Nothobranchius furzeri: one gene and its partners. The protein of the gene in region 3 interacts with the protein of the main gene of each other region in a biochemical or structural test. Links are inferred from orthologs where the notes say so. Each region holds a gene or a part of one and is shown on either strand. Other genes may lie near its edges.

Region 1 (3,500 bases), on a different chromosome or scaffold from region 3:
TTGATCCTGCGCAGGTTGTGCTGATAGAGGACATTGTTCTCCTGCAGGAAGCGGCTATACTGCTGGTCTATTTCCCCCAAGAGGTTGTGGAACACCAATGTGGCATGTGACTCCTTGTTAGCAGCGTAAGCCCTTAAAGAAAATCACCAATGTTATAATGACTTACACGTACTCCTCCCAACAACAAGAGCACTTTGTTTACAACTTACCGAAAGCTTTTTAACATACAAACTAAATGTCAGAACACGTGACCTGTTTTGCAAACTACTGCTATGAATCTGACAACATCAAAAACCTAGAAGACAGTGGCGCCCCCAAGGAGTGGCCAGGGGTGGCCATGGCCACCCCTACAAAATTGCTGGCCACACCCAGGGACCCAGTGTTCTTTAATAAGTCATATTATAGTTTACACAATAAATGAATTTATGTTTTGTTACGAACATGAATAAAGGAGCATTTATTGCAATACTACAGGCTAAACTTTCCCAGAGTTACCACGAGGATCAATTTAGCCAACCCAAAATCTTCTCCGGCCCCATGGCCACCCGCTATGAAACTTTTCTGGGGGCACCACTGCTAAAAGGGAGTGCAATAATTCAACACATTCTGTGGTTAGCATTACTGCGACTAACGTTTAATTAATACAGATGCTGACAAGGTGTTACATCCCTCAGCTCGCCAGGAGTGATGTGACAAGTAAATGTTAAGTGGTGTGTCTAATAAGGATGCTCCAATTAGGGCTGCAGCTGTCGAATATTTTTGTAATCGAGTACTCTATCGAATCTTTTATCGATTAATCGAGTACTCTAATAAATTACCCTTTTGCGTTTTTAAACCCTTATATCAAATAGCATGTTATAAAATATGAAAGACCTCTTGAAATGAGAAAGCAATTGCCAGTTATTCTTCAAGTTTTATTCAAAATTAGTTTTCAAAACTTCAGCACTTCAACTTTACTTCACAGTAAACAAATGCGAGCGGCTGCGGCCCAAACAGCACCAGAACCGCTAACGGTGCATGCGCAAACATGGCTCGCCAGCTGTTTCCCTATTAACACACGTTCGTTTTAATTTCTACACTTTTTTTGTCTCACACTAACAAGGATTGTCGAAAGCATGTTGCCGTGGTTATGTCAAATTATACTGATCATAAAACATTTATTTACTTTCTTTCGTTTTCCTCCACCACTCATAAATACCCGTGTCCTCCTGCAGCAATCCTGAGGGACAACGGACATCAATAACAACACAGTAAAAAGTCAGACGTGTTGTAAAAACTGCTATTTTTAGCAAATTTTAAGACCGACGTGTTGCTACCAGATGTACGGTGTGAGCTGAAACTGAGTGCTACAAATGAAAAAGTCGCACAGTGTCTGCAGAATATATAGAAATACAGGCTAAAATGCATTATCTTGTAGAGGCTCCGAGTCCGCTTGCAGAAGTGACATTTACATGTGGATGTTTGCTGGTCAGGTTGCAGCATTGAGCAATGTGGTGTTGTGGTAGGCTAAATCCATTTTACAGTATTTACACTGGAGTACGTTTTCCGCCTTACGACGTGAAAAATGGTCCCACACCTTTGACATTTTGTGTCTTTTTCGCACTCCACCGGGGTCCACGTTGTCCGCCATGGCTTAAAAGAAAGTTAAGTTGCGTTCGCTACTCGCGTGTGCATTCAGTGCAGTGTGTATGTGCGTCACTTAATTCGGTCCGGGTGAAACATGACCCCGGGCAATTGCAAAGCCCTAAATTAATTAAACATGAACTAAACGAAGCCTCGAGGCACAGAATTTGACTCGAGGATTTTTTGTACTCGAATTATTTGAGGTAGGGCTGCTCGATTATGGCAAAAATAATAATCACGATTATGGTGACTGAAAATGAGATCACGATTATTTAGGACGATTTTTCAATTTATGTTGATTTTATTTGTTTTTATTCAGTCATAAAATTGCTCAGGGCACAATCAGGACAAAAATAAATAAGAAACAAGATGATCACTAAAATAACTTCTGATTCCCAGTATAAAAAGACCAATATACTTACAGCTCATAGTCTATGACCCAAGGGCTATAGACCTTGGTTTAACTCGTGTAAGTCTAACCAGTACAGACCCAAATACCAATATCTTGCAAATACTGACATCAAGAATTATACAGTGGCATTTATAACAAATAAATGCAAATAAATTGATGTTCACAAAATGCTTCATAACATTTATTGAGTTGTGTCAAGGTGCTGTAGGAGAGTGCACTAGCACCGTGTCCTCAGAGAGATTAGTTATTATTTATCAGCGTGAGGAACTTATTTCTACCTTATTTATAAACTATTTATTTACAAGTCGTCCATCAGTTAATGTAATAATTGTCCCAAACACAGCTGCACCCCCACCCCCCAACCCGGTCTCACAGCAATCAGGGGAAAGCTGCACATGTGTTTAGCACGCCGCACGTGCACATTTAGCCGTTTTTAGTGGCTCGGGAGTCCGCAGGTACGGTGTGTGTGTCACTCACTCTGGTTACTCCAACAAGGAGCCGGCTCCGAGAGCTGTCTTTAGCGACTGACACATCACTACGGCATTCCATTTCCTAATGTCCTGAAGAACGGTCCGGAGCGCAGGCGGAGTGTTTATCTAACCTGCAGGAAATGTCGACGACAGTTATCCAGAAAGTAGCTAAGGGTTACCAGAGATGTTTCTAAGGTGTTCGCAAGGTACTTTTAAGTTAAAAAGTCAAGAAGGGGGTCTGAAAAGCTGCTAGAAATAGCGTCAAAGTCGCTAAGTTGGCAACACTGTAGCGCTTCATTTGCAACTCAGGGCAGCGCAAGCGGGAGGAGCAAATAATCGGCTTGTTTTGTTTTTTATAATCGTTCAAAACTCAGATTGTAATCGTGATTAAAATTCGATTAATTGAGCAGCCCTAATTTGAGGTACTCGAGGAATCGTTTCAGCCCTAGTTCCAATCACATATTTTTGCTCTCGATCCGAGTCACTTGATTTTGAGTATTGATCGATACCATTACTTCAACAACGCATTAAAATAATACTGAACACATTTATTTATTTTCTCCACATTTCTTTCTTTCTGTATTTGTTATTTTCTTAGTTTATCTGCCAGAAAACATCACCTGTTCAGGAAGCCCATTGATAAGAAACGTGTTCATACACTAATGATATATTTAACAGTGGCCTTGTAGCTTGTATTTCAAATAGGTTTGCAGCTGTTTTGAGGGATTCGCATTCCTGCGACAGGGCAGATATGGCATGTGACGCCAGCAGCATGCTCACTCTTTTCTACAAAACACCAGTACAGCTGCGTCTGTAAAGTTGGGTCAACAAAGCAGCTCATACCACGACTTGTGGAGACCGCAAAACACAACATCTGCAACCACAGTCATCCAGTGCAATAAATACTGTTATCTTGGCATTTAGCGGTCATTTTTGCTGCCATTTTTTAAATGTATCTTTCAGCGTCGACTCAGCTGGCGCCATGTTTTTATCAG
Region 2 (4,290 bases), on a different chromosome or scaffold from region 3:
GAAATATAAATTCTGCTCTTTTTTATTTTGATAACTTGTTGGAGGTGTGAGGGCTGGTATCCAGCATGTTTTAGTGGTTTCTCTGCTCCAACACACTTGATTCACCTGTGCAGCAGCTCATCCGGCTCTGCAGTTAATCACCTGCTGACTGAAATCAGGTGTGTTGAAGCAGAGGTAAAACTAAAACACGCACCTCTAGCACATCTAGGGTGATGGTCCGAGAATGGGTCTGAGTACACTGCTGAACAAGTGCCAAGCCAACCCTCCTTCGATTTTTACGGGCGCACCTACATAAGGCATTACGGTGCCCTGTTCAAAAGTGCCTTTCAAATTAAAAGCGCACTCCCAGGATTTGTGTCTGAACATGCTGATGAACGGATTTCAAAGTGTGTGTTAAATTGTGTGTAAGATAAAACTGCATTTTAAATGATATAATCTTTTAAAAATACTTTCAATTCCCAATCCTAACCCAACAATCAATCAATCAAACTATTTATGAAGTGCATTTCATACAAATAATGTAACAATAAAGACGTTTGTCTACTTTGCAACTCTTATAACTCCACTCCCTTTCATCGTGATCTGATGTGGCATTTCAAAATAAAGTTCAATCAAATTTGACAATGAAGACAATTTTCACAATATTCAATGGTTTCTTTTTCAAAAACTGTCTGATTCTGCAACATCATTCCACCTCATTGTTAGAGTACACATCGACTACTTGTTTTGTTATTTAAAAACAGTGAGATCTTAAGCTAAGTAAAAAAGTTATATATTTTTTATCTCTGAGAAAGTGAAACTTAATTGTATACTGTAAGTTATTATAAATTTCCCTTTTTTAAATTCACATTCACAAATTACTTGTATTGACTTGTTTTTGAGAATAATACTTCAATTGGGATAGCAAAGATGGGCTTTCTTGAGACTGACCATCAGTTTTTGTAAGAAGAGGTAAATAACTATGGACTAAATAGATGAGATATTAGGTTTGAAAATGGTTTGTTTCTAAATTCCACATTGGATACTACTCCAACACTGTGGTGGAATGATGTTGAGGATTCAGACAGTTTTTGAGAAATTAACCATTGAATATAGTGAGAATTGTCTTTATTGTCAGCTTTGATCGGTTTATTTTGAAATGCCACATCAGATCCTTATTAATGTAGTAGTCGATGTGTATTTTACCACTGAAGTGGAATGGTGTTATGAAATCAGACAGTTTTTGAGAAAGAAACCCATATATAGATATTGAATATAGTGAAAATGGGCATTATTGTCAACTTTGATATTACTTTGAAATGCCCTATCAAATCAGGATGAAAGGGAGGGAAGGGATAAGATTTAATTCCATTTTTGGTTCTTTTTTTATAACAGATAAGGTTTCTCTTTACCTTGCTAACGTTTCGTTTGCGGCTGCAAACATCCTCAGAGCTGACGCTGATGGTGGCGTCACTTCCTTCTCCGTTTATCCGCGGGCAGCAGAGGACGTTGTCACCCTCTGCTGCCCGCTCTCCCTTCTCCGATGATGCAGTCCATGCAGTCCCATGCACGATCCAATGTGTAAACTCTATTGTCTCTGTTCATAGTCCCGCCTCTATGTCTTCTTATCGCTATAGCTTCCTTTATCCATCTTTTGTATTTCTGTTGATCGGTGTTTGTGGTCCTTGTGTTGTCCCAGTCCATTATATGGTTTTCTCTTGTGCAGTGATCTGTTACGGTTGACTTCTTTATTGTGCTTTCTGCTTCTTGTTTTGCTGCTCGTGTGCCTTCAACTTGTTTCTTTCTCGCACTCCTTTCTATGTTCTATTGTTCATGTTTTGAGTTGGCGTCCGGTTTCTCCTATGTATGTTTTATTGCAGCGTTTGCATGAGATTTTGTAAACACATCCCGCTGTCTCATTACTTCATAGTCCGCATCCATGGATGCGAGACTATGAACAGAGACGATGGAGTTTACACATTGGATCGTGCATGGGACTGCATCATCGGAGAGGGGAGAGCGGGCAGCAGAGGGCGACAACGTCCTCTGCTGCCCGTGGATAAACGGAGTAGGAAGTGACGCCACCATCAGCGTCAGCTCTGAGGATGTTTGCAGCCGCAAACGAAACCGTCAGCAAGGTAAAGCGAAACCTTTTCTGTGTTTTAAAAAAAGAACCAAAAATGGAATTAGAAGTCAAACACAGCAAGAACGTACCAAAGATATAAAAATGGGATAAAATTTGCAAAGCAGACAAATGTGTTTATTGTTTTTAATTTAAAGTTTTTTAAAATAGACATATTATTTAAAACGCAGTTTTATTTTACACACAATTTTAACACAAACAAAAACTTTGAAATCCGTTCATCAGCATGTTCAGGCCCACATCCCGGAAGTGCCCTTTAATTTTGAAAGGCACTCTTGAACGAAGGTACCGTAATGGATGATGTAGTTGCGCACGTAAAAATCGAAGAGGTGCTGGGTTGACGACCGTTTCCGAACGGGAGGCTGGCTTGGCGGCAGTCTGGGTCCCTAAAGCTGGACCTTTGCATTTAGGTAAAGACAAACATGGTCATTTGTTAAGACGACAAATTTTATTGTAACGTGTTTCCTGTGGGTCCACAATTAGACCCGCTTTTAATCTGACAGTCACCGGAAGCATAACCAGAACTCATCCGAACAACCAACGTCACTGATCATTTAGTAACGGATCAATTAAAGTGATCGGCCAGCTACGGAACTCACCGATCATCCGTTCGTCTCCTTCATGAGTTGTTTACAATCAGCCGGCCGCAGTGCATTCTGGGAGCTTTAATCCCAGAGCAGGCTCCGCCCCGTCAGGAACCTGCTGCCTCCTGCTGGACCCAGGTGTGCACTTCAGAATCAAGTAAAAACGAAACATGCAGCTTTCTGTCATTTTTAATCCCGTTTACATTGATTTAAATGAAAAAAATGCCAGTATTTCCTCCAAAGAGCAGTAAAATACTATCATTATACATAAAGGCATCCTGATATATTCTAGTTCAAAGGTCAGGGTCGTGGGTAGATCTTCATATGGATCTGTACCCATGAAGTAGGTCTCAGCTCCAACAGGATGGTGAGCCCTAACCCAGTCCTGATGAATGTCTTCAGTCACAGATCTTTCCTATCCACAGTGAGAACCAGTAAGGACCAGACACAAGACTCAGAGAACGAGTTTGCTTCAGCTCCCTACTTTTCTGCTCCAGTTCCTCTAAAAACCTCTTCTTTCCTGTCACTGATTGCTGGATATAGTGGATTTTGTTGGACCTTTGATAGTTTTATGATTTTGGGGATTTTTTGATTTCTTGGACTTTTATTTGGACTAAAAATCTTTTGGATCTGTCAGAGGCAGTTCAGCTAGGACGTTCTCGCTGTTGCCTTGAAGCTATTTGAATGTGTGTCTTCCCTCTCCTTCTGCCCCACAATGACGCCTTTATGCCTTCTGAAGCGAATAAAAGGATTGAGAACCTTAAAGAGCAAGTCACCCCGTACCAGATTCTTACTCAACTCCCACTTCCTGTTTGAAAAATGCAACAAATGCTGTTGCCTAGCAGACAGAGAGGGTGGAGCCGCTAACAAATACACACACTCACGACATTGTGACATCATAATGTACCATCTAACATCATAGTGTACCTCTTAGCCAATAGCGACGGCAGATTTAAATTCAAATGCAGTGCTGACTTTTTACCTGACGACGGTGCAACACTGACATTTTAGGCAGAATATTTAAATTTTAACTAAAATGCACTAAGGTGCCGAATTATTGACTACACATGTCTGCAGCACGATCAGACATGCATTTATGTAGTTTATCAGCAAAAAAATGTTGATTTGGAGTGACTTGCTCTTTAAAGAGGATATACGACGACTCTCTGCTGAACTGCAAAGGAAGGAAATGCTGCGGGATAGTTGTAGACAGGGCCGTTGCTTGCTATTTTGGTGCCCTAAGCACAAAGACTTCGTGGTGCCTGCCCACCCCCCCCCCACCCCACCCCCACCCCCGCAAAAAACAACACAATAACACAGTATGTGCAAGCGCTTCGCCTTAAATTCTCTTTAATTCTCTTGTATGCACAAACTGCTTATTATTTCCAAAAAGTAGGATTGATATTTACGTAATATAACTACTCAACACAGTAACTCCATATTGTTATTATTTAGAACTATGTAACAGGTCCACACACCAAAAGCACCGGTTGTGGCACATGTGTTTCTCCAATGTAATTTTCAGATGCTTTTTCAGATCCAGGACTCACTCTGCCTTCAGAAGAGCTGGCTGTGGGCTGTGCT
Region 3 (3,500 bases):
CCACGACCCCACTGAGTCATACCATATCATATCATATAGTATCAACTTTATTTCTATGGCACAATTTAAAATACAGCGTGAGAGCTGACCAAAGTGCTGAACAGGCAGGGTCAATTAAAACAGAGAAAGACAAAAGCAATAAGGAGCTAAACAAGGCGTCACTAGCAGGTAAAATCAATAAGAACAGTAAATAAAACACAACACTAAAAACAATAAAACGATAAAATGAGACACTGTCTAAAAGCCAAGTCATAAAAGTGGGTCTTTAAACAAGACTTAAAAACAGGCAAAGACAGGCATTCAGCCCGAGTCATGAAGGCGAGTGAGTCTGAGATCAGTACGATCCCAAAATCTTGACAACTTTACCTGGATCGGTGATGCCCACGACCAACAGCTTGCTGAGCACATCTGCAACAACCTGAACAGCGGTTTGACTGACCACATGGCCACTGATCAGATGGATGGAGGGCGTGAGGAGACGTGAGCAGGTCCGGGCAGCTTCCATTCGGATCTCTTTGTGTTCACTGTTCAGGAAGTGATCGGCACAGTGGCGCACAAACTGGGTCAGGGAGTGTCCTGGCGAATAAAGTTTAAACGTTGTGTTAGCGAGGAAGAAAGCAACCGTCAGCGCTTTGCTGTGTGGTTCTCTGAGCCCAGTTCCACCACCAAACTGGCACGGAACAGGGAGGGTTGGTTTGCTAGTTTCACTGTCCCGATGACCCAGACCACGCCAGTCACAGGACATTTGCCTCCTTCTGCTGTAGGCACAGAATTTTGTACAGCTAATGTGGAGCAACAATACAGTCCACTGATTGGAGAGCAAAAATGTGTCACTACTTGCAACAAGCAAAACAAACCTCAGAGTTTCGTTATTTGTATTTTCATTAGTTGTACACGAATGTGAGAAATTCCAGCAAGCGGCTTGAGAGCTCCATACATTCCTCTCCATCATCGTGAGAGTCTACGCTATGGAAGAGCTAGGTGGATCGGTAAGGATTGCAGGTTTCTCAGCGGATGGCAGCCGAAGGATTTGCGTGAATGTCGGAACGGTGTCGGGCCAAGCTGAAGAAATTAAAGCTTAATGTAGAAAAGTTAGGAACAGAAACAGCCGGAGTGGAAATGGGAGAAATACACAGAGATTAGGGCTGGGCAATAAATCGAAAATTCATCGTTATCGAAATTTCTGACTTTTATCGAGATTAATTTTCCCATGTCAATAAATTTGATAGTGAAAAAAATGAAAAGCTGTGTAGGTTGGCAACGTTCATGTCCCTTTAAGAAGCTGTACCACATTGAGTCACGTACAAATGTGGCTGAACGTAATACACGTGACAGCCCCATCTAGTGGATAACTTTAGTTTCTGCGCATACCTGTAGTAATTGTCCATTTATCGTTATCGAGGGGAAATCCTCAATATATCGTGTTATTGATTTCAGGACATTTCGCTCAGCCCAACAGAGACGCTACGACGCGCTGGATGCCACAGACCGGCAAACCGAGGCAGCGAGGCAGGCTGGGACTCAGCGACCGCACTTGGGGAGCCCGTTGGTAAGCATTTGATTTTTTGACTTTAGCTCTGCAGAACATTTATTGCAGCACAAAAATACTGAATAGTTTCAAAAGTTATTTATGAAATCGCGCATGAGGGTTGATTTAACCCTGCCTGCCAACATGAGAGCCCAAACTGTGATAGAAATGCTCTCCTGAAATTGCAGACCCATACTGGTCCACAATGACCCGCCTCGCCCAGTCCCAAACCCAGAAGTGGATCTGAGGCTTCTGTAGCAGAAATTTTATAAAAAAACTGGAGCCTATGAGAGCTTAGCAGAGTGTGTTTAAAGGTGCTTACCTTCAAATTCAAAGCTTCCTAGCGTGCGCAGGGCCAGGGTGATGCTGCCAACATCACTGGCCTCTGGAATGTTTGTGAGGCTCGGCGAGGCGAGCTGGTGAGCCAGGCCTTTGGGCATTCCTGGGTGTCTCAGTGGCTTGTGCATTAATACCAAAGAAAGCATCTTCAGCAATCCATCCTGGATATCTTTTTTCAGCTGGGGGATTTGACGGCTCAGGTCGTAAAGCACTGCAGTTAGAGCAGGACTAGACCAAGACGTGAAAAAAGATACGTGAGAACACCACATCACCTTTGAAAAGTCAAAATCTGTCAGCCTGTCCTACCTAAGGCCCACTGCCAGCATTGGTTCCAGGAGCTCCTTGATGTCGGGCTGGATGCTGGGGCCCATGGCTCTAGAGAGCATGCTAATGCAGGTAAACACTGTGGCATCCACCTGCATGGTCTTCTGCCTCCTGTAAACATAACAAACATCAAAGTAACATGGTTATTATACTGTTCTAAACCTATATTAGCTAATCCCAACGCTCCTGTTTCAGGAAGTATAAATTAGCGGGAGGAGTGGAGAGGTGGAAAACGGCAACATTTTGAGTTTTACTCATTATTATTCATGATATGCAAACATCTTTCCTCTGATTGGCTAACAACAACGAGCCTCTACTGCTGCCTTCGTTGCCTCATCTTTCTTGGGTAAAAATGCAAACGTTGAGGTTTTATCTCTGCAAGTAAAACAAGCACATTCCACCTTGTTTTAGAGATGCTAATGCTAACGGTTAGCTTCTACTAGTTGAGACTTACTCTGCTCTCTCCTGGCTGCAAAACTCAACAGCTTTCCGTGGTCGCGACCTAAGTTGTCGAGTCCTTGTATGTAATTTTATAGAGCGACGTATATCTGTGTGGCTTTTCTGACGCAAGTGTTTCTGTGTCTATTTAATTTTGGCAGTTTACACAGGAAATATGGTTGAAGACATACATGTGAAACTCAGCATGACCGACTGTCAGTATAACATTGGGTTATACATGAAATGTGTTTATGTAGAGTGTGACCAACACACTCCACTCCAAAAACTCAATACATACAATAAATAACAGAGCTTAAAATAAATCACTAATAATCCAAAAATGTACCCTCACAGAAACAAAAATGGGAATCTGAATATGAATAAAATGTAGATAAATAAAATAATGGAACCTAAAAATCATAGACACGGTGTTAGTGACTAACTTGTGTGCAAAGTCTTTGGGTGGCAGCGCAGCCTTGATGATCTCAAGGATCTTCATGAGGTACGGCTGGATTTCCGTCCTGACAGCCACCACTAGAAGCCCCAAAGCCTGGAAAGCTGCCGTCCTCTCCTTCTCCTTCTTCAGACAGCCCAGCAGATACCCCATAGTGTCGGACAAGTACTGGTCTGTCAGTTCAGATAAACATATTATGTGCAGATGACTTTAGGTTAATGCATCAAAGCGAAACTGTTGATCCAGACAGACCCACCTGTAAACGTATGCGGCTGGAATGCAGCTAAGCGAGGCAGCAGGTTGAGGATGGTCATCTGGATCAGGGGGTTTTTACAGGTTTTGTATTTCAGGACCCACCGACACACCTGCTCAGACAATGGCAAACATACATTTAATCCTGTGAGCTTCTGACCTTTT
Region 4 (3,500 bases), on a different chromosome or scaffold from region 3:
TGTAGTATTTTAACCAGAGTGCATCATAGAATAATGAAAATGCAGAAAAAATGTGTCCAGATGTTTGCTAAATTCAGCCTTTGTGTCATAGATAACAAGAATGAGCACCACTGTAACTGCAAACGTGTTAAAGGGAACAACCTGTTTGTTGTTGATCATAAAATCACAAAACTGTTGCACTTATCATTTTGGGAAAACAAAACAAACTCCTGAGTAAGCAGCGGAGATTCTAAAATGCAACTTTTTTTTCCTCATCTTTCATCACTTAACTGTTTTTTGTTTCCTGTTTTGTCAAATCAGGAGAATACATCAAAACCTGGAGGCCAAGGTATTTTCTCCTCAAGAGTGACGGTACATTTATCGGATACAAAGAGCGACCACAAGATGTTGACCAGCTGGAAACCCCCTTAAATAACTTCTCTGTAGCACGTGAGTGTCTGCTCCAAAGAAACCCCCTCTTCTCTGTGTCTTGGCAGCTTGTTCTACCCTCCAGTTTGATGCTTTTCTTCTTTTTACTTGCTTTGTTGTTAGAAGTACTTTCACATACTTGTTCTCAGATGTGTCCTGTTTGTAAAATATAGTTTAAACCCTTTGTATTCTGGGGGAAACTGTGTCTAAAAGCCTAATAATATCCTTACTGAAAGGGAATCGAGAGTAAAAAGACTATTGATTTTGGTTTGCTTTCGTGGCGAGCCCTCCTAGATGTCCTGAATGCATTTCCTCAAACTGTCACAATAAATCCGTTATCGACGCTAATGTATAAATACTACATCTAGGACAAAATACTCAGTGTTTTGCACCTTTTTTCTAAGAGTCTGTTCAGCTGATAAGGTTTTTTTTTCCCCTGCTCATCATTGCCACATTGAGTGCATAACTAGTGTTTTTAAAGTGTGGTTTCAGTTTAGCTATTTGTTAACCTCAGGAACTCTAAACACAGGATGCACAAAGCCACTTGGAGAATGCAGCAGATTGTAGCTTACCCAGGGCTTTCCAGGATTCCCTGGATTCTTTTCTGGATTTCAAAAGGAATGCACAATGATTACATAACTTCAAGTTCAAAATGTATATTTTTTGTGTGCATCAGTCCTCAATAAACTTAAAAACAGCCAATTTGCTGCATTGAGTCTAAATTGATTTAGAAAGCCAAGAGTTTGGGTTACATTTTGAAATCATGGTATTGAGGATGTTTACGTGGAAACTGGACTTGATAACATCATGTGATAGTTAAGGCTTTCACACGATGTGGTAAAAATGAATCTATTTAAATACACTGAAGTAACATGTTTATATTGTCCCAGAGTTAAGGGAATTGGTTTTAAAGAGATGCATAAAAAAGTTAGCTGATGGCCTAAAATCAGAGAAAAGTAACGCATTGCCAGTTGTTTAATTGGGGTATGTAATTCAAATGAAACTTTCTGTGCTGCTAGTTGGTTCTGTACTACCTGTAAACACTCAAAACATGGAAAACAGCTTTCCATCTGTTTTGGTCACTTTTTGGTTTAGGAATTGTATGCATAAAACAAGTTGATTCAAAAAGTCTCCGTTTGTGACATCACAATTGCAGGAATTAGCATAGAACCACCACTCACCTGTCTGTTGTCATGCTCGGAATTTTAGTTTTTAGAATTTCCTTGGCCCCATTTGATGCTTCAGTCAACAATATACTGTGCCGTAAAATTTCCAAGCTACACAAGTGAGAGTAGGGGGTGGCACATCTGACCTATTGGCCAGGAGTTGAAGCGTTTGCCCTTCACCTATTGCATCAAATAGGATGTCGCTCAGAGGTTTGAAGCTGATATGAGGCTGCCGAAGAGATGCATCTGAAGGAAATTTTAGTGTTTCCAGCCATATATTATGTTGGGTGACTTGTTGACGAGTCTATGGAGTGCTTTTATTGGACCCTTGTGCCTGCTCTGTCTTCTCGATCCCCAGTGAGTCGTGGAGGATGGCTGCTTATACTGAGCCAGGATTCTCTGGAGGTTTCTTCCTGTTAAAAGGGAGTTTTCCTCTCCACTGTTGCTGCATGCTTGCTTAGTATGAGGATTGCATCAAGTCACTGACACTAGTCGGTGACTTGATGCAATTTGCTGGGTTCCTTTATATAGGAAACTTTTTTCTGATTGGCTTAATGAACTGACCTGGATCGGAATGTTTATTATATGAAGTGCCTTGAGACGACTCGTCGTGATTTGGCGCTATATAAATAAACTTGAATTGAATTGCATTAAAGAGCATTTTTGTTCAAGATGGTTCTATTCCGTCAGTGATACGAGCCTTCGGACGATGAGTTAGACATTATTTTAATTCTAGAGTAGCTTGACGAAAGCATTTACTGTGTCTGCAGTTATTGTTATGTTATATCCTTGATTGGCATACATGACTGGAATCACAAGCATCCTGGCTTTCTAATGAGGTACATATGTGTGTGTGTGCATTAGGGTTGTCACGATACTAAAATTTCAAACTTGATTCGATACTTGAAAAATAACTCGATGCTCGATTTCGATACTATTTAAAAACACCAATTTATTGAGCAAGTTTATTCGAAAAATAACATTCCTCAATTTATATTGCAAAAATTAAATGTTAAGAATTAAGTGTATTAAGTGCTTAAACCTTTCAAGTATCAGCATTTTTTAAAACGTGCATACAAAAACTGGTGAAAGTTAACACTTTAAATCATGAATTGTCTCACTATGAATACACTATTTGCAGAGTGATGTTTTGCTGCTTAAACTCTGTTTAAGGTGCATTTTTGTCATAAGATGTAATGCCATATGTTTTGTTCTGTACTTTTGAACAACTCTGTTGGCCAATAAAGGGAGAAAAGGAATTTCTCCACAGTAGGACAAAGGTACATCTACCGGTAATCTTAATAAAAACAGACTGGCGCACGGCAGTGACGTCATTAAAAGCGCCGGTTAATTAGCCGCAGCTAGTCTGTTCACGCCTAGAAATCCCAGACCCGCTCCAAACGAACAGGGGAATCATGTTAATGATTTCTAACAAAACCTTTCGACATTGAGATGTGTTTTGGTGCAGATAATGTCTTATTTCGAGGCTGCACCATGGGTGCCCGTCCGCACCCGTTATATGGATATACACTGATGGCGATTCGCTGATGGATCTAAATACCCCGGGGAATCCAAGTAGCACCAAAGTTGTCAGCGTGAGTAAACAAACGTACTGCATGCTAGAAATTAAGTCTGGGTTGCAATAAACGGGAGTTTTCCTTTAAGCACATAAGCGTGAATATACAACTACGTGTCGGACTTGGTATGCTAATTAAGTTGGGCTGTGAAGCGCCTCCCAAATTCACTGTTTATGTTTTTGTTTATTTATTTGGCAGACAAAACTTGGATCGGAGACAACTCGCGTGGGAAATTGCAATGTAGCCATGCGGCGTCTTCTTCTGTTTGTCTGGGAGGCGGAGGCTGCTTTACGGCATCTGGCTGTCGTGCGTGTCGGTGTACTTGAAGAAGGCTGTGTATAATAGTCCA
Region 5 (4,251 bases), on a different chromosome or scaffold from region 3:
ATGTCACAGCTCTGCAGATTGATCTCCTGATCGATGGCATTCCACAGCTCCGGTCCCAGAGAGTTAAACTCCTCCCCCACGGCGGAGAACAAGCTGCTGTTTACTGCATTCACCACCTGGGGAGAAGATCAACCATCACTCATCCGCTTTTGCTCCTCGATCACCTCTAAAAGGTCACCAGGCTGACCCAGTTGACGCTGGGCTCGCGGCTGAACTCGTGGGCCCGAGCAGTGCTGAAGTCGTAGTCCGGCCTGAAGGACTCGTTGAGTGTAGTAATGAGGTAGAAGAGGGTCTTCCTGCAAACTTTATCACTTAGAGGGTTCTCCCCGTCCTCGCTGCTCTTCCCCAGCCTGCAGGAACACATCGTTTAGAACATCTAGACTCGCCCGTCATGGAGCACCACTGCAGCGGACCAAGTTACTCACTGTGAAGGGCTGGTGGTGCTGGTGGACTGAGGGGGCGAAAGGGCCTCCAGGACGTGTGGCTCACCCTCCTGACAGAATTGCTTGAACATGTGTTTATCATCTCCTGCCATCTTACAGGAGTAGCTCTCGATCCTGCAGAAGAGACAGCACAACATTAAGCCTATTTAAGCCATTTATGAATCGATTATCAACCTGCTGCACTGTTTAGTAATGGGGGGGGGGGGGGGAAAGATACACAAATCAGGAGTGTGGCACATAGAGCACATCATTTGAGACGTCTCATCTACACAAACACAAGGCGAGCCCCCGATAGAGTTCTCGGTATCTGGGTCAGACGTCGCTGATATGGATATCTGAGTGCAGCAGACTAGTGTGTGTGTTTATTTTGCCTCATCACACTCAGAGGTTACACAAGATGAGGCAGCTCAGGACAAGCTGGCCAGAGAAATCCCTCCAGACCCCACGGGCTAATTATAGAAAACATCAGAGGACAGCAGAGTGGAAATACCAATGCTGGTATTTCCAACACAACGCACACACACACTTCTCTAGACAACATCCTAATTTATTTATAAAGGGTATAGCTATTTATTTACACTTGTCCTGTACAGCTGGTTTTTGCACAACCATCGTCTAAACAGCAGCACTCAGTTATCATGTAATGTGTGCTTTAACACTTGTCTCCAAAATAACCACAGGGTCTGGTGAGATCTGCGTCACAACCAACATATTTCAGTTTCAACACCCACACATCAAACTCTGCATAAGCGCACAACCCGGCCACCAGGCTTTATGCAACAACACCCTCTCTAACTGCAGCTGCAGGGCTTTGCAGAACTGCAAGCTCTGAAAGTAGGCCTTGGGGATTGTAAACTGCTATCATCATATTGCATAACCCTTGAGTGGCGCTTTGCTCCACTACCCTGGTTAGCAGCAGGATGTATGCAACACTTTAGTGTTCCATGACGTCACGCAGGCCAAACGTTTCCCTACAAACCGTATAGCCTTTGTATTAAAAATGGAACTTGAACAATAAGGACGATCTCCTCATCAAAAAACACCAAGGCTCTTAAGTCTGTTAACATTTGTAACCATCTGAAACTGTTCGATTGACTTGACCTCTTCCAAACCTTTCTTTTTTTATTTTTCCTTTTTTCTCCATGTCTCCATCATTTCTGTCATTCTTCGTTGTAATACCACAATGGTATACTTTATGTGTTCCATGTCTTACAATTGTATGTTCAAAATGTGCTAAATAAAGTTATAATGAAAAAAAATAAAATAAAAAATAAATAAATAAAAAAAAACGTATAGCCTTTTTTGTTGTGCAGTATACCTGCGAAATGGGCTTTACTGATGCACCATCAAAAGAAGAATCCTAAAAATGCTGAAATAAGGTGGAAGGGATTTTTTACCTGCCAAGGATGCGAGACTCTCCAGTTTCAACGCACAGTCGAGAGCTGAGAGCTTCAAAACTGGAGTTTTCCAACAGCTTCATGGCAGTCTGGGGGAACAAAACACAACTTTATGGTTAAAACGATAACCAGGACTAGATGCACTCATTTTCTCTGCTTCTCTGGAATTATTTTAACCCAACAGAACAAGTAATTTGAACGACATTAACGAAACAATAAGATAAAAGCAGCGTTAGCAGCAGCGCCCCGTGAGGACGTTTCTGACCAAAACATTGATTTCGCTGGCCAAAACCAAAACCACTACCCCTCCCCCACTAGCAGCCAGTCTTCCTGGTTTACGCCGTCTCATACCTTGACAATTTTCTTCAGCAAACGCAGGAAACTGGTTGAAAATCTCAAGCAGCCGTCCGCACGGTTGGCTAGTCGACCTCTGCAGCGAAGAGGTCACCGAGGATTAACGATCCGCGCTTTGTTGTTCACTAGCTAGCCCGTTAGCCGTTAGCTTGCTGATTATTAGTAGCTTTTTGCTGAAACTGCGGAGCCTTTTTAATGTGAACTTGAGCTTGAGTATGTTTCAAAAGCACTCGGTCGAGATGGAGTTATTCTGAGACTTTTTAGGTTTATACAGAAACTGCTCTTTCCGATTAAATGCGACGAGATCACATCCAAAGACTGTTGGCGTTCCTCGGAGTCTCGCTGCAGCGGCATCCCTTTCGACCTGATTTTTCAAACGACCGATATTAGACAGATCAAGTCGCTCCTTTTCCCGGCGACTCGATCGGACAAGCGGCTAATTTCTACCGATTCTAGTTAAATTTCAGCGGAGCTTTGGTTTTGCTTTCGGTCGACAACCTGAACAAGTCAAAACAACGGGATCTACTGTTAACGGACGACCCAACCCCTTTTCTTGTACAACTGCTTCGCTATCGTTCCCGCCTACTTTCTTAATGTCCTCTTGTGATTGGCTTCTCGAGTCTGTCAATGTCAGAAATGGAAGCTGTGATTGGTTGGAACCGTTTCGCTCCAGACGAGAGATGTAACTGGAAACCTCAGCAGCAAAAACAATAAACAACATTATATATATATATATAATTAGCCCGTGTTTTTAAAAAAAATAAAATCATTGCAGAATAATCAAACAAATCTTTTTTATTTATTTATTTTCATTTCGGTCATGTGGCAATTCATTATGTCAATTTGTCTTGCATGTAAAACCAGTTTCAATAAAGCATTTTGACAAAAAAAAAAACTATAAACAGAACTGATCCATAAATGTACAAAGCCATTATGTTGATTGGTCACGTCTGTGTGAAATAGTCCGAAACATCCTCCAGGCCTGAGCTCTCATTGTCCAGGTACTCCAGGATCACATTACCCCCGTTATGCAGGGGAGATTCTGTGTGAGACAGCAGAGAGAGCAGGGTGTCATCCATCCTGAGAGCCTCACCAGTCTGGGGATGGCAGAGACGCAGCTTCTGCACAAAGGGTTACGGCAGTTTAATATCGGCTCATATTACTGGCAAAAACAGGGAATTTTAAATATTTTTAAGTTTAGGCAGAGAAAAAAAAGATTTCATAAACTGAAAAAAAATTACATCAGTCTTAAATGATAAGACTACCACTGTTTTCTTAAAGTAAAGGTAAAGAGTTTTCTTAAGGTAAAGAGTTAGTTGTGCAAAATGTTTTGAACTAACATTTTCCCTATGAATTGGGTTGATATCTGAGCTGGTTATGCATTAAGGTCTTTCCTCACGAGAAATTTTAAACTTCCTTGTTATCACAGGATGCATTTTTGATGGAGTAAGTAGATAAAATACACACCACTAAATAAGTCAGTCAGTCTTTTACCTTTGCTGTCAGTACATTGTTGTTGTTTTTCAGGCTGGCTAGAGAGGCTGCGTGATCCACCACTTTCCCAACACTCCATTTGGAAGAAAAGAACATGGGCTGGCTGCGCTCTTTGGCTTCCTTTGGAAGATACACCTGAAAATAGGTTCTTTCTGTCTGGAAAGCAGAAGGAATGCAAGACGAGAGTAAGATGTGTGTGCTTGATTCATGACATGCAACACACAACAATGCTAGAACAAGAAATTGAAAGCTGATCTGTCACCTGTGGCAGCCCTTTATCTCCTACAGCATGCAGCTTCAGTTTCATCAGAGCTACCTTGGCTGCAGTGGCAGCGTTCTTTGCTCCCTTGCATCCTTTGCTTTTGGATCCAGCTTTTGACTCTAATCAGACAATTAAACACAATTTAAATGGATAAACCTGATGTATTTTTTGGTTATTGTTGACCGATCCTAAACCCACGTGTAGAAATTAGATTCAACACAAGAATCTCCTCTTTTTAAACCGACCTACAATCTTTTGCACTAGCTCTTTGGTGGCTGCCATCCGGGGCTTTTGGGCCTCC
Region 6 (4,039 bases), on a different chromosome or scaffold from region 3:
GGCGATCAACACCAAAGTAGAGATTAAAAAAAAACATTAGTTCATAGGAACACACGGACTGCTGCCCTGGAAGATCTTTAGCTAAACTCTTAGAAATGAAAAGTCTTCTGTGTTTTCTATTTGTTTAGAATTTATTACCTGAACTGAGAAACAAGTTTTTTTATTGTTGTATATTTTATTTGTTATAGCTCAACAAGCCAGACACAACGGTGAAGGTGGAGTTTAATCGACATTTCTATTTTAGTGCAGGCATATGTGCTGCAACCCAAATGCTTTTCTCTAACGACGGGGTTTCTCTCTCCGGCAGGCTGTTGCAGTCCCGTAACATTTTCAAATATTCTTGTATTCAAATTATTACCATTATGCCTATTTTGGACTTATCCGAGTACAAACAACCTTTAAATGATTACTGCCTTTTTAAAATGAATAAATCACATTTTTGTGGCCTGCGACAGCTTTAAACCTGACAATCCTCTTCTAATCTAGAAAAGTTTCAGCGCCTGCCCAGAATATTCTGCCTCTTCAGCTTTCAGCACCGCTGTTGATCGTATTTCTGTTTACTAAACACTTCGATCAGACAGCTGACTAGATGTCTGTCAACAATAAAAAGGTCTCAGAACGGAGTGTTTAGAGAAGTGAAAGCCTCTGATTCCCGCAGCTCTGGAACCACAGAATAATCCCATGGATGATGAACGTCGTTTCTCTAAGAAGAAACACATCTTAAAGCTGGCTTCAGAAACTGAGATTCTCCATAAATACAAGTCTGATTTTTTTACAGACACCTTTATATTTTACATTCATATATATAATTTCAGCAGATCCTGTGAGTTAATCGGGCCAACGTGGCTTCAGATGTTGGGCTGGAGCTGAAAGAGCCGAGGCGGCAGCAGAGAGGTGCAGATAGCGATCTATCAGCTAACCGTGAAGCCTAACCCTACCGCCGGCTTCAGCAGCAGCAGGAATGTCAGGATTTTTTTAAAGTATGTAAAATGATCATATGACACAAACTGACAAACGCTGGTTTCCAACAACAAAAATCCAACGTGACTTTTAAATACCTTTTTTAAAACTTTCATGGCAAATATCTTGCCCGATGCAGCTCCGACAACTTTGCGAACTTGGAAAACCTGAACGACAAGAAATGAAAGGCATGTTTCGAATAATCGTAATCAAGAAAACCCCTGGTCAGGTGACCAAGGCAAAAAAAATCCACCCACATCTTTCCCAGGAGTACTACGTGTTGAGTTTTTGTCCTACCTTTCCATAACCACCTTTCCCGAGAACCCGCAGCAGCTCAAAGCACTCCGGTCTGATGTTCTCCGCCCCCTGGTTGACGTTGTCCTCGGAGATCTCAATCTTCTCACAGCCGTCCATGTCGCTGCAGCGGAAATAAGGTTCAGGGTGCAGCGCTGAGTCTCGTTTTTTAACTTTGTTTGGTTGTAAAATGTTCAAAAAAACTTACAACTCAAATCCAGCGCACTGCTCCATAATGTCACTGATTTCAATCTGGCAGGGGGAGAAATAATTCAGGATCATGATATTTTACATTATTTTCTAAACAAGAATCCCAATAAGTCTTATTTCGGATATTTTGTGTTAACGTTTGGACCTTTAATTGACTTTTTTGTTTATCATTACTATTTATATAACTCAACAACTGAGAAAGTATTTATCTCAAAAAGATAAATATCCTCTGGTGACTCTGCAGCCTTCAAATAAAACATTGGTTGCTCAAATTTAATTTTATTTAGAGTTGAATTTAATTTAAAATTTAAAACATTAAGTTCAAGAAAATGCCAATTTTATAAACATATTGTGATAAAGTCACTTATAATAAATGTATTATTAGATTGTAATTTGCATGGACTGCTTTTTTGTGTGTACACCTACACCTTGTAGGTCTACGCTACTTAAACAAAACTAAAATTATTTCAGTTCAAAATGATTTGCTTTTAATTAGCGACTTGGAATATTTTTAGCTTTTTATACAGAAAATATCTGCATTGTTTCACTTTTTTGTCCAAATATATTCACATTACTAAGTAAAATCACCAGGAATCAAAGACTAATCAGCAAAAGGGAACATTTAATGTGTTTGCTGAACCGACTTCTCTATGTAGTGAGGGTTTTGTCCTGTTTGGGACATGCAGATGTACAAAAACATGCCTTGAACCAGCGCCATCTATGCTCCGTGACTCTGCGGTAGCTCTGCCTTTTCTATCACTGTTTGAACAGAAGCAAACGGGCAGCCAGCCTCTCAGCCCACACAGTCCCACTCTGTCACATCTTGCCAAAATAAACTGTTGCACCCGGAGCCGCATTTATCACCGCAGCACCTTTGGCCAAGTAAGGATGGTTTTCACAACTCCAGCATGACAGCGATGGATTAAAAACGTGACAGCGTCAACAGCTTATCGCGGAGTCGTGTTTGTTACCAAAGAAACACAGAAGAAAAGGCAATTCTGTCACGATTAAGGGTAACTCTCACTTTGCTGTGCGGAGGCCCGACCGTTCTGGCTGCACGCAGGAACAGGCCTGCGGTGGCTCCTGCCAAGCTACCATGCTAGCTAGCTAGCTACCGTGTGTCAAGAGTTTCTGCCGTGACAGCTTCCGTAAAAGTACCTCCTCGTTCTCATCATCGGAGACATTCTCCTCCGGCTGGTCCAAATCAATGTCAAACACTCCAGCCATGGCAGCGAGTCGCTCGAATCGCTCTGTCACAGACTGCAGGAACAGCAGGCGTCCCCCACCTCATGGACAAACATGCACGGCCACCATAACCGGCTACTATAGTGAGCATGCGCACTGCGGCGCTCACAACAAAGGGGCGGGAACTTGTTTTATTGTCTCAAGAACAGAAACTGTTACAAATAAAAGCACAAAAAAATCATTTCTGAGTATACAACAAGTGGATGTGTTTCTATTTGCTTTCTCTGGATGTTTTAATTCTCATTCTAAGACGGCACAAGATTAGCTTGGTAATTTCTTACATTCTTACAGACTTTCATAGGTCATTCAGCTGACCACAGGCAGTGAAAAATGTTAAGCGCCTTCTTTTAGTTTATGATTAGATGCTAAAATATAATAGTTTTCATTTGACAGAGGTTTAAAAACACAAAATTGGTTGTACATATATACAAGAGGGGATACCTGTGCACCATTTCTAGGAACTAGAAGTTACCCAAATCACAGCTGAGCTTCAGGCGCAGGTTTTAGTCTTATTTCCTGATATTTGGACATCTGGCCTTGGATTGGCTTACAGCAACGTGCCTCTACCACTTGCATGTGGATGTTTATCTCTACAAACAACACAGGCCTGGAGGAGCTTCTTCAATGTGAAGTTGATCGTGCTAATAATTAGCTTCTACTAGTTGAGATAGATGTCTTCTACTGATTCTCGGACATTAAATCTACAACATCCCCATCGTAAGTCAAGATGGGCGAGTCCATGAATGTTAAATGACACTGTGACGTGGATCAGTCAGGATTTTCAAATCCTAGAGTTTCACCGTCTGTTACCAGAAACTTATGCAGGAGATGGAGTAGAAGACTATTTTCATGTTCATCCTGCATGAAAACATCAGAGTGACCGATTATAATCAGAAATAATCATTAAAGGGATACTAGGCAGTTTAGCTTGATTTAAGCACCCCCTAGTGTCAGTTTGTAGAAGCGAAACCAAAACTCTCCTCGGTGTGCGTTCGCCTTTTTAATACCCGAATCTAACAGCTGAAACATCTCCCAGCGTTCCCAAGTGTCTAGAGGAGTGAATCATCACTAAATTAAACTCATCCGCTGTGTTCATGATCTAAAACAGGCAGGAAATGTACTGAAGCCAGATAGCAACGGCAGGTAGGTCAGCTCAAAAAGCCCCAACAGACCGGACCTGCAACTGTGAAGTTGCAAGTGGAATATTCTGGTCTCAGGGGCGATAGGGGTTGGGTGACCTTTCATTAACCATGTAAAGTGTCATTTTAGTACATACTGGCTCAAGAAAATGATATAAAAATATTAAAATGTTGCAAAGTATCCCTTTAAA
Region 7 (4,104 bases), on a different chromosome or scaffold from region 3:
TGTGTTATTAACGTAAATCTGAAATAAATAAATAACAGGTCTGTTTTAATTAGGGATGCACCGATACCGATACTGGCATCGGTACCGATACCAGTATCGGTATCAGTGAAAGTTAACCGATACCAGGAACCGATACCAATGCAGTTGCTTGAAAATGGCTTCACTGTAACTTGTCATTTCTGTTCACCTAATATTTTAGTTTTGTGATGATTTCCATTCATATATTTTACTTTTTATTTACCTCACAGTCTTTTCCTGTTGAAAGCAGAGAAGAAAATAAAATCTGTATTCCATATCATTGCATTTTTTTGTGTGGTGGAAGTATCGGTATCAGTAATCGGCAGCGGCAAGTACCCAGATCCAAGTATCGGTATCGTATCGGTTTGGAAAAAAGAGGTATCGGTGCATCCCTAGTTTTAATCACAATGTCAGTTAAACAATGAAGCCTCTTTGGCAAAGCAGTAACAGCTCTGACCTCATTAAACTCTTAAAATAAACAATCTGTCAGATTTAAAAAAAAATCTAGTTTTGTTGGATTTATTCAGGGGCTGATCTACTGGGGTGGCAACTGCCTCCCTAAAGGAAAGTTTTGCCACCTCAGAAGAAGGCAGCAATAATTCATGAAATAGTTGTGGCAAATCAGACATTATGAATGTGAAAGTAGCATGTCCGATTACACCGATCATGACACAAGCTGATAAAATAATGACCTGAAATAAAAAAAACATATATGGTTATGTAAATACTGATGAATTAACAGGGAAAGAAATGTGTTTGAGTGAATAATAAAACTAAAGTTTAGTACCTTGTTGCAGTGAAACATTGTGTTGGTGGTGGCACAAAATGCCAGCCCACTCCAGAGTGGCTGTGGCTACATCGTAGCTTACCATCCCCGGCAGTGTGAACGTGAGAGTGTGAACAATATAACCTTCTGAGTGGCCTAGTGGTAAGAGTGTCCGCACTGGAACTGGGAGATCGTGGTTCATCGGGTTATCCCAAAGACTTTAACTCATTCACTGCCAGCCATTTCCTGATCGCTGAAGACCTTCACTGCCAGCATTTCTCGCCATTTTTACTGTTTTTTAAGAGTCACAGAACGTTGCGCGCTAGGATGATGTCGACGCCAAAACAACCAAAACAAAGAGGAGACTCACCTCTTAGATCAGGAAGAATCCGCGTGTTTCAAGCGTTATCCATTCTTTCATAATTCGTTGTCGAATTGTGATCGGCAGACGCTTTTCCGGTTCGCGCCTCATGTTTTTTTTTTTAAAGGAACAACCCAAACCGATCTCCTAACACATGGATTTTCTGCTTCCTGGTCATGTGACCTGTGACGTATGCGGATGAAGATCAGCTTCAGAGCTGAGACGTTTGCTTCTCGGCGCGGGGACTCGTTCCAATGCCCACACAGTAAAAAAATTCCAATGACGACTATTGGCAGTGAATGAGTTAAAAATGGGACCCAATGCCTCCCTGCTAGACACTCATCTTTAACCACCAAATAGTTCCCGAGTGCAGCCACTGCTACAGCTCACCGTTCCCCATGAGGATGGGTCAAATACGGAGATGTCATTTCACCAGCGTGTGATGATGACTAATGGGACTTTAATGGAATGCGCTTTGAGTTCCAAGAAAAGCACTGTATAAATCCAATCCATTATTGTTATTATTATTTCTTTCCATATAGTGCATCTATGCTGACCTTGGTACAGCTCAGTGCATAGGAATTCACAGACACATTTTTAATGGATAGTTTAGTTCAAAAGCTTTTGTGTGCCCAAAGAGTATAGTAATTTATGCTCCATTTTACCATCCTCAAAATTTTGCCCCCTTCTGCCACCCCGTACATGTTTTTCTAGGCCCACCACTGGATTTTTTTCTTTTGCTGCATCTGATCCCAAATTCCAGTCCAGTAGGTGGTCGTAATGGGCTTTTAAACTGGTTAGGTCACCGCCAATAAACTCAAGAGCACCGATTTGATCACGTGACTCAGATCCCAGTGACAAGATGTACAGAAGTCAAAGTAAAACCCTAAAAACGATTTTCACTTAATTGAAAATTAGTTATTGTGTTGCAAAATTACATTTACAAAACGACATTGGTCATATGCCTCAAAGCCACTTTTTAGTTTTTCACTATTCTGTTTTTTCAATGATCGCTAGTTAGCGTTAGCGGTTAGCTTCAGTATAGCTAGCTATCAGATGACAGCAGCCAAGCCGACCTCATGGAGTTAGCATGAACACACGCAACAACGCTGCTGTTAAATGGATTCAGGTCTCGTGCCACTGACCTTTTGACCAAGCACACAAACGTTAATGTGGAGTTAAAAACACACAACGTACCGCCCGGTGTGGTGCTAAAAAGGGTCCCCCCGGGAGTAGTGGAGTAGTCGTGTGGCATGTGGTCCGCTTCGTTGACGGCCACTGTCCTGGTGGACGGGATGGCCTTGGCATTTGTCTTCTGAAAGTCTGTGGACATCTTCTCTCAACTAAAAAATTAAAAGTAACTAACTGGATGACATGAAACAAGAAGAACGTCTGGGTTTGACAGAACAAAGCCAGAGGAGTGTTAGATTTGGCTCAGCAGCAGAACGGTCGCCTTCTGATGAATAAAAATAAATATCTAGATTTCATGAGTGCAAACTATGGCGATTAAAGTTAGCCACATTAACACACGCGCTCTCACTCAAAACGGGTCGAGGATGTTTGGTGAAAAAGGACCTCAGCAGCACCCGTTTCTCTGTTTCCACATGCACACAAAACAACACACAGACATACGCAGGCAGACCATCAAGGCATACAGACAGGCTGCTGCAGCCCTGTAGGGAGAACGCTGTTCGGTGCAAACTAAACGAATTTATTCCGCCATCTACTGGTGCATACTAGGCTACAGAGATTAAAATAATAATAATAATTATTATTATTATTTTTAAAAAACTATGTATTTATTTTCACCTCATTCTATTTGAAAATTTTCTTAAATACAAAATCTGCAGACACTGTTCCAGATTTTCACCTTTTAAGGAACGTTATATTGCGTTATTATGCTTTCAACAAGAAGATTGCCTTATTCTAGTCCGCCTCCGAAATGATTTTAAATCATGTCAAGTTGACAGATGATTTATTTAAAAGGAGCAAAATCAGTAAGTAAATCCTGCTGTCATCTTCTGCTCAAATATAATTATTGAATTTATTCAGGTGTGTGTGTGTGTGTGTGTTTCTTCGGCATTTTAATGTATTTTCAATACAATTTGCTTTTAAAAGCCCTTACATAATTGTTTTATTTATTCTGACCACATTCCTAGCTCTGAGATGTTAGATCTATAACTTCACAAGTTTTAATAACACAAAGAGAAGCTTTTAAATCAGATTCAGATTTCATGAATTTCTTTGAATTCATGTTTCTTTTTTGCAGCACGTCTATAACAGACTTCCCCCAAAGCTTGATGCATCTCCTGGCAGGATGGTTAAACGAGCGAAGATCTACTCACTGTGTCAGTCAGGAAAAAACACACTTCAAAGTCAAGAAACGTCATTTAAAGACATGAAAAAAATTACACGCAATACGCAAAGATGTTTCATTTCTTTATTAATTTTTGTAAATGTTGAGCTGGTGTACAGAGTAAATTGTCAACAGATGCCCTCAGATTTTGATTGGATTAAAAGGTTTTCACATGTATATTTTATGTTTGACTCTCCATGACAATAAAAAAGCAAACAAAATAAGTTAAAACACCCACAAAACCCCTATTTATCCCCAGGTTGCAGGCATTACCCAAACTTAAAAGTCTCTTAGTAGCTACAGCTGTATGATGCAAAAAGGACATCCATAACATAACAGGAATCCCAGTTGACAGGGGTGCATAGCATTCTAAGTAAATATATATATTTGTATGTTTCATATATATAGCCATTTTTATATTAAAAACTTTTTGTGCATGTGCGCAGTTGCATTCCTTAGTATCGAGTAATATGCTATTAATAATGTCTTCAATCCATTCTAAAGGAATATACATGTGTTCTCTAGTTTTTGCAAGAGTTAACATTTTTGCATGAACTTGGTGCATGTTTCAGCAGTCCATTGCAGGGCTCCTCGTCTCACTGG

The links.
Region 1: the proteins of mtor (region 3) and stat3 form a complex in vitro, tested with the Homo sapiens proteins (2 studies listed by BioGRID, with this or other methods). The link is inferred for Nothobranchius furzeri from reciprocal best matches to the Homo sapiens genes MTOR and STAT3.
Region 2: of the proteins of mtor (region 3) and prkn, one has a biochemical effect on the other in vitro, tested with the Homo sapiens proteins (2 studies listed by BioGRID). The link is inferred for Nothobranchius furzeri from reciprocal best matches to the Homo sapiens genes MTOR and PRKN.
Region 4: of the proteins of mtor (region 3) and akt1, one has a biochemical effect on the other in vitro, tested with the Homo sapiens proteins (19 studies listed by BioGRID and IntAct, with this or other methods). The link is inferred for Nothobranchius furzeri from reciprocal best matches to the Homo sapiens genes MTOR and AKT1.
Region 5: of the proteins of mtor (region 3) and maf1b, one has a biochemical effect on the other in vitro, tested with the Homo sapiens proteins (2 studies listed by BioGRID and IntAct). The link is inferred for Nothobranchius furzeri from reciprocal best matches to the Homo sapiens genes MTOR and MAF1.
Region 6: of the proteins of mtor (region 3) and rps6kb1b, one has a biochemical effect on the other in vitro, tested with the Homo sapiens proteins (18 studies listed by BioGRID and IntAct, with this or other methods). The link is inferred for Nothobranchius furzeri from reciprocal best matches to the Homo sapiens genes MTOR and RPS6KB1.
Region 7: of the proteins of mtor (region 3) and eukaryotic translation initiation factor 4E-binding protein 1, one has a biochemical effect on the other in vitro, tested with the Homo sapiens proteins (29 studies listed by BioGRID and IntAct, with this or other methods). The link is inferred for Nothobranchius furzeri from reciprocal best matches to the Homo sapiens genes MTOR and EIF4EBP1.

What each region holds. Positions count from the first base shown.
Region 1 is NC_091745.1:6,835,032-6,838,531, forward strand, and holds part of stat3 (signal transducer and activator of transcription 3), read right to left. Parts: intron 133-3,500; coding exon 1-132. UniProt on the Homo sapiens protein: Signal transducer and transcription activator that mediates cellular responses to interleukins, KITLG/SCF, LEP and other growth factors. Once activated, recruits coactivators, such as NCOA1 or MED1, to the promoter region of the target gene.
Region 2 is NC_091752.1:62,524,971-62,529,260, reverse strand, and holds the start of prkn (E3 ubiquitin-protein ligase parkin), read right to left. Parts: upstream 2,801-4,290; 5' UTR 2,729-2,800; coding exon 2,722-2,728; intron 1-2,721. UniProt on the Homo sapiens protein: Functions within a multiprotein E3 ubiquitin ligase complex, catalyzing the covalent attachment of ubiquitin moieties onto substrate proteins. Substrates include SYT11 and VDAC1.
Region 3 is NC_091755.1:52,502,060-52,505,559, forward strand, and holds part of mtor (serine/threonine-protein kinase mTOR), read right to left. Parts: intron 3,449-3,500; coding exon 3,340-3,448; intron 3,257-3,339; coding exon 3,073-3,256; intron 2,303-3,072; coding exon 2,174-2,302; intron 2,096-2,173; coding exon 1,851-2,095; intron 577-1,850; coding exon 367-576; intron 1-366. UniProt on the Homo sapiens protein: Serine/threonine protein kinase which is a central regulator of cellular metabolism, growth and survival in response to hormones, growth factors, nutrients, energy and stress signals.
Region 4 is NC_091758.1:33,917,168-33,920,667, reverse strand, and holds part of akt1 (RAC-alpha serine/threonine-protein kinase), read left to right. Parts: intron 1-300; coding exon 301-429; intron 430-3,500. UniProt on the Homo sapiens protein: AKT1 is one of 3 closely related serine/threonine-protein kinases (AKT1, AKT2 and AKT3) called the AKT kinase, and which regulate many processes including metabolism, proliferation, cell survival, growth and angiogenesis.
Region 5 is NC_091747.1:46,933,900-46,938,150, forward strand, and holds the start of maf1b (MAF1 homolog, negative regulator of RNA polymerase III b), read right to left. Parts: upstream 2,801-4,251; 5' UTR 2,192-2,800; intron 1,930-2,191; 5' UTR 1,924-1,929; coding exon 1,841-1,923; intron 558-1,840; coding exon 426-557; intron 351-425; coding exon 188-350; intron 117-187; coding exon 1-116. Other genes in the region: zfand1 (AN1-type zinc finger protein 1), read right to left, coding at 3,139-3,315, 3,689-3,844, 3,951-4,069, 4,196-4,251. UniProt on the Homo sapiens protein: Plays a role in the repression of RNA polymerase III-mediated transcription in response to changing nutritional, environmental and cellular stress conditions to balance the production of highly abundant tRNAs, 5S rRNA, and other small non-coding RNAs with cell growth and maintenance.
Region 6 is NC_091753.1:29,214,564-29,218,602, reverse strand, and holds the start of rps6kb1b (ribosomal protein S6 kinase beta-1), read right to left. Parts: upstream 2,801-4,039; 5' UTR 2,692-2,800; coding exon 2,623-2,691; intron 1,507-2,622; coding exon 1,463-1,506; intron 1,379-1,462; coding exon 1,258-1,378; intron 1,128-1,257; coding exon 1,059-1,127; intron 1-1,058. UniProt on the Homo sapiens protein: Serine/threonine-protein kinase that acts downstream of mTOR signaling in response to growth factors and nutrients to promote cell proliferation, cell growth and cell cycle progression.
Region 7 is NC_091757.1:46,259,649-46,263,752, forward strand, and holds the start of eukaryotic translation initiation factor 4E-binding protein 1, read right to left. Parts: upstream 2,801-4,104; 5' UTR 2,479-2,800; coding exon 2,343-2,478; intron 1-2,342. UniProt on the Homo sapiens protein: Repressor of translation initiation that regulates EIF4E activity by preventing its assembly into the eIF4F complex: hypophosphorylated form competes with EIF4G1/EIF4G3 and strongly binds to EIF4E, leading to repress translation.